2 linked regions of the Kluyveromyces lactis genome follow. The protein of the gene in region 2 binds, or shares a complex with, the protein of the main gene of each other region. Links are inferred from orthologs where the notes say so. Each region holds a gene or a part of one and is shown on either strand. Other genes may lie near its edges.

What was found.
Region 1: EHD3 (region 2) and RSM7 share a complex: the UniProt entries of both Schizosaccharomyces pombe proteins name them as parts of the mitochondrial small ribosomal subunit. The link is inferred for Kluyveromyces lactis from reciprocal best matches to the Schizosaccharomyces pombe genes snr1 and rsm7.

The regions. Positions count from the first base shown.
Region 1 is NC_006041.1:511,922-515,033, reverse strand, and holds RSM7 (mitochondrial 37S ribosomal protein uS7m), read right to left. Parts: upstream 1,550-3,112; coding exon 755-1,549; downstream 1-754. Other genes in the region: KLLA0_E05765g (uncharacterized protein), read left to right, coding at 236-682; PSY4 (Psy4p), read left to right, coding at 2,490-3,112. UniProt on the Schizosaccharomyces pombe protein: Component of the mitochondrial ribosome (mitoribosome), a dedicated translation machinery responsible for the synthesis of mitochondrial genome-encoded proteins, including at least some of the essential transmembrane subunits of the mitochondrial respiratory chain.
Region 2 is NC_006042.1:1,715,926-1,719,201, forward strand, and holds EHD3 (mitochondrial 37S ribosomal protein mS47), read left to right. Parts: upstream 1-964; coding exon 965-2,479; downstream 2,480-3,276. Other genes in the region: ubiquitin-specific protease UBP14, read left to right, coding at 2,813-3,276. UniProt on the Schizosaccharomyces pombe protein: Component of the mitochondrial ribosome (mitoribosome), a dedicated translation machinery responsible for the synthesis of mitochondrial genome-encoded proteins, including at least some of the essential transmembrane subunits of the mitochondrial respiratory chain.

The sequences.
Region 1 (3,112 bases), on a different chromosome or scaffold from region 2:
ATATTTCACGAAAGGGGTTTCGACCATTTGATCCAATTTGTCGTTATTCAATTATCTCAAAAAGATGATGAAACTATATAATCGTGCAAGATGACTTTCGGATCGCATAAAGAAGTGAAGCATTGATGTAGGATTAAGGTTTCCAATGCGATGAGAGAGTTGAGTTTATCACTTCATTTAGAAATTGTGTAGAGTGTATGCAACTCTTATTGAGAGTTTTTATGAAAATTGATAAATGATAAGATATAAATACGCAGTAACATTTTTCTCGAGTGTATGTTTTGTTGTCTTCCTCGGATTAACTACTGATGCCAGGTTAAAGCTAATAACATCAACTCATGATAAGCTCGCCCATTGCATAGTATTTTGCATTGAAACCGTTCTGTTTACCATGATGTTTGAATGTGATACCGTACAGTTGCCGGCATTCATCCCCAAAAGACTACGATCAAGGAATTTGGCTGCGTACGAACCTTTTTCCATGAACAAATATCTATTGGCATTTATTGTATGCTGCGTATGTGCCAGTACGAGCAGTGAATTTGCACAACAGTTCCTCTCACGAGGAAAAAGGTCCTTTGATGTAAACGATATTTTGGCCAATTTTTCGGGAAGTCTGCTGGGCCTAGGAATTGCATATAAGATAGAGCAACAAATTCAGCATAACTATGAAAATCGATAACGTTCATTTATATTTCACGTATACATATGTACAGGTTTATTCAAGTAAATACAGTGGAGGTTGGAACTTTGATCATTTTAGGTTAATGTAAGCTCTGTGTGCAATAGCAGTCTTATGAATAGAGTCTCTCTTTTCGAAACCTGAACTATTACCGTTGAAGACAGATACCAATTCTTCACCAAGTCTTACTGAGAAATCGCTCGATGATCTCTTCACAGAACTTTCCACAATCCATTTCCAAGCTAATCTAAACCTTTGTCTTTGATTCAATGGAACTGGAACCACAGTGGCCTTTGCGACACCAGTCTTGAAGGTCTTGATAACCATAAGAGGCGCCAACACATCCAAGGATTCTTTCAAAACTTTTACCGGGTCTTTCCTTGTTTGACAGAACACAATATATAACGCTCTTGAAAGAATCTTCTCAGCTCTTTCTCTTTTCCCGTGTCTCATAATCATATTCGTTACATGCTGTAAAACTGGATCCTGTTTTTTTGGAATGGGAACTTGCTTCAACGTTTCCCATTCATTTATTTGCTCTTGACTTGGCTCAAAGCTGGGCTTGTTCAATTCCATAGCCTTCTCCAAGATATTAATTCTAGATTGGTTACCTGGTGCAAGGGACGTAGCTGGGTTATAATCTTGTTGCGAAAACTCTTCTTCTAACGATCCAATAACTTTCAACCATTCATCAACCTGTTCGTCGCTAAGGCTAGCTAATTTCTCCCCTGTAGACGCATTATTATTCACAGATTGACTTTGGAATCTGGTTTGCATGGTCGGTATACTGGCAGCATGTACAAGTGGACTTCTTGCCAAAACGTTAGCATGGACGTGACTCAGACTAAACCTTCCTGCTCTCAACATACTGTACAATTTCCGTTGAATAGATGCCAGTGTACACAAGGACCACACAAGGACACACACAATACAACCAGAACCTATTCAATCTAAGAGTAACTCTCATTAGATCCAAATTCAAGCTTACTTCACCAGAATATGATGATATTGAATTTGGTTTGAAAATCGTAAATTTTTTTGATCAAAGGTTCAGAGATGAGCCAGTGTGAACAGTGTTACCCGCATAAATACACGTGACTACTAATGATCTGTTTCTATGTGCCGTTGGTAGTTTTGCCTGTCAGTGCATTGAGCACAAGCTTGCCAAGAATAATTAATGATATTATATAGACTGTACCTTATTAGACACCTTAGCCTTTAATATTATAGTAAAGATGTCGTTGATCTATTTTGTATTCAGGTATGTAACTATAGTATCTTTAGAACTTCCGTACTTAAGTGTTAAAATTCCTGCCGTTCTTAAGTGAAATCCTTTAAATAATATCACATTTCGTTACGTGAAAAGTTGGTGAAATTTGTTATATGCGCACAATATTATGTGAAATGATAAATAAAAGAAATTTGTTCAAATAACATGTAGGTTTCTAAGCTACAAAGATAGAACGGTCAATCAACAGACTAGAGAACGAACTTTATAAGGCTGCTGGCTGAGCTGGGATTGGCTAACCGTGTACTGTCTATTGGGACTAGGTGTTACAAGTCCGTTGTTTCATATTATTTTCCGAGACTATCCTTTTTATCTATTCTATATCTGCCAGTTTGGAATAAAAAAGGCATCGCTCATACTGGACTTATTTGTGCTAATTAGAATACCCCGAGAACACCGATCTTTCGTTAGTGCCATTTCAAGGAGATCTAACCAAGTGTAATATTACTATACCGTAGAATTTTTTTTTTTTTGCCAGCCTTTCCTACTATCAGCTCATTAATCAGATACATTGTCAATATGATGGGAATAAAATCCAGACATCTATACGACCGTTTGACTAAAATAGTTATCGATAAAGATCTAAGCGCGTTTAACGAAATATCGCCTTCGCAATTGATCCCACAGCTATCTGAACATTTCAGCATAACGATACCGAAGGAGATCTTCAATTATAACGAGGACCAAGAGGAAGACCTTTTACACAGATTGAAAGAGCTATCGAGGTACCTTGTTGTGAAATTTGCAAAAAGAGATAAGTATCCGTTCACGATTCAACGGATATGCGAATTATCTTACCATCCATTACAATATTTCCCTGTGCACAGTTTGCAAAAGTTTGTGTCGGCCATGGAGAAATGTTGCTTGGTGAATACTGATTGGACACCCAGGCTGGGCAAAGAGTGTCCAAACACAAACCCAATGGAAGATGTTTCTCTGATACCTATTGAGTGGATCCGCACGAATAAAGAAGATGAGAAGTCTTTGCAGGCGTTTATTTCGAAGATTGAAACTATAGTGGCTGTAAATTTTGGTTATGATGACTTCGACGACGACAATGAAGATGGTACAGATCATGACATCGGTCGTGGATATGATAACCATGGCGATGTGCTCATCGAGGAATACGAGGAAATGGATGA
Region 2 (3,276 bases):
TTCTCAATGTAACCACACCAGTTGGATCAGGTATAAATCCTATGTTTATGCGTGACTATTTAAAAGAACTTAAGCTTTTAAAATTTAAAATCTAAAATCCTTAAATCCCGAAAAAGAACTGATCTTATGATGTGATAAATTCAAACACATACACAAACCTAAACGCAAGCAAAGCCTGCTAAGAAATGTGGTTTATACTTAGAAAGAAATCTGTAATTGGAATTACAATATATCTTTAAACGAACAAAAACCATGCGATGAGATGTTGCTGTTCCGTGTGCTCTCGAGCGATAGAAAGAAATTTTTCATTACGCTTTAAGGGAAATGGGAAAAAGTACGGTCACGTGAAACAAAGACACAGAGAGGGAACGCCCTGTTCTAACATCAGACACAGGGTTGGTGGTACCAAGGGCCCCACCAATATCTGTTTAACCATTAAATATGCAAAACTGATATATTTCGATCCAATCCTGACATACTCTAAATCATTTCAAATGTCAAACGATGTGACAAACCGCTGCAAGATTATGGTTCAATCTTATACAGGATTTGCTTCCACCCCGGATGAATGCAATTATACGCGTACATAAGTTCTGTACCCCCTTTGCTACCGACCTTAAATTGCTTCGCAGTTTGGCTATCTTGTCTTATTATCCCCTTTCAAGTTGGAGAATTGCTCAATCCATTAGGTACTGAAATTGTTCAACAATCGTAGTAGCTTTTTTTTTTTGGTCACTCACTATTCTCCATCTGCTGAAACAAATTTGAACCTGAACATTGAGTGGAACGAACTTGACGAGAACAGAAGAATGGTAGCAGTCTCCCTTTAATTGCTGCATACTTAACTTACGTTGATATCTTTGACCAAATATATCTATATATACCGAGATCTACAGCGTCTTATAATATCCTGGCGGGTTATCAACATCATCTATTATACCCATTTTTACCATAGCATTCCATAATGTTGAGGCATTCCTATTGTAGAGCACAGCAACAGTCATTGAGACACGTTTTGAAGACCAGATTGGCTGTTAATCAATTAAGATTTATGTCTGAAGTTAAGTTTAGAGTCGATTCCACTGCCAGAGTGGTCACTTTGGATAGACCAAAGAAATTGAACGCATTGGATGTTGAGATGTGCAGTGCCATCTTGCCCACATTGCAAGAATATGCCAAGAGTACCGTTAACAATGTTGTTATCTTGAACTCTTCAGCTAGTCCTAGGGCCTTCTGTTCAGGTGGCGATGTAGCTCAAGTAGCCAAGTTGGTTAAGGAAGGAAATTTTGATTACGCTAGAGAATTTTTCACCAAGGAATACTCGTTAAACTTGGCTCTAGCTACGCTGAACAAGCCGGTCATCTCTATCATGGACGGTATCACCATGGGTGGTGGTGTCGGTCTATCTACTCATATTCCATTCCGTATTGCTACTGAAAATACTCGTTGGGCCATGCCTGAGATGGATATTGGATTCTTCCCAGATGTCGGTGCCACTTTCTCTATTCCAAAGCTTACCACTGTTGGTGGTTCCAACGGACAATTGGCTCAGTACTTGTGCATGACTGGTGACATTTTGAATGGTGCCGATGCTTACGTGGCTGGTGTCGCTTCTCATTATGTGCCACATGATCAGATCTCCAACTTACAGGCAAGATTGGCTGAGTTACATTTGACTGAAGCCACTTCTCAATCGACTAACCGTGATGATGAAATTTTCGATGTTGTCAACCATGCTATTGAGGAATTCAACGCACCATTACCAAGAGACTACAAGTTCAAGTACACTGCTGATGAACTAAACGTCATTGAACAGTGTTTCGATATCGGTAACAGTTTGAAGCAAATCTACTCCAAATTGGATGAGGTCATTGCTGGAAAGACAGTATCACAAACAGCTCAGGAGTTTGCTGCAAAGACCAAGCAAATGCTAGCTAGCAAATCCCCTGTTTCTTTGGAAATCGCAAAAGAACTTTTCCAAAGAAACTCCTTCACTGACATTCAAACCGCCTTGACCCAAGATTTGATCACTGCTACTAAAATGTCAGAATCTCCGGACCTATGTGAATTTGCTGAGGCCACTAGTCATAAATTGCTAGAAAAGAACAAGACCCCATACCAATGGAAGATCAAAGATTTGAAATTAGCCCAAATATCAGTTCTAATCTCACAAAACTCCTCAAACCCGGTGTCGTTGATCCGCCCATCAAATTTAGTTACTTTCTCTGAATACCCACATCATAGCAAGTACCAATTACCAAACGAAACTCTAGTTGAGAAATATATCACAGGTGCTGACAACCATGGAAGACAAACTGCAGTTACTAAGAAGGAAGCTGTCAAATTCTTCCAACAATTGAACCCCGCCACGAAGAGTAAGACCGGCGTAGACTACTTGGTAGGTTTTATTATTGACAGAAAATGTGTTCCAAACCCAGATGGTTTCTTAAGATGGAAAACTTCCTCTGCTAAACTATAAAAACTATACATTTCGATTATATAGTACATCGAACACTTGTAAATACACTTACGATTAACCTACACGCAATAAATTTCATTATCCTCTCTTAGAATGGCATTGTTCTTCGGCAGTACATAAGGGTGCCATAAGTTAAATACAGCTCTAATTGATGCGTTCTACTTTAAAACTCGTTCATCTACCTAATTCTTTGTTATATTTTCCATAATTACGGCATGGTTTAAAATTTGAAATTACTGGAGTTTGATCCTTTAAAATGAGTGTGCAAGAAATAGAACATCAATATATAAGAACAAAGCTCCACAACGCATCATATCTGCCTTCAAATTAAAGATGTCTGGTTCTGATATCCTTGATATCAATGTACCCAGGGTCATTGATACAGATGACTGTGTTTATTGTTTTGAAACGATGAAGAATAAAGATGAGGGTCGTGAACATTCATTATTCATCTGTCTACGCTGCTTTCAGTCTTTCTCCGAAGAGCATTGGGAACTACATCAAGAGGTTGTTTTGAGTGAGACTGGTTCTACCCATGATCTGTATCTCAGAGTATTCAAGGTTCTAAAACCAAAACAAGAGCGAGAAGAAGCTGGCACGCCACCATTGGAAAAGAAATTAAAGCTTGAGGTTAAGGATGTGAATGAGGATGATCTATATGATACCCACTGGCTGCTTGGATCTGTGGAACATGGAGAATTGTTATCTTCAGACACTCCATCTATTCCTAAGGAATGGAGTGACAAAATTAGTGAAATCTTGCAAACAAAATCCTCATCATATCAAGATATGTCAAA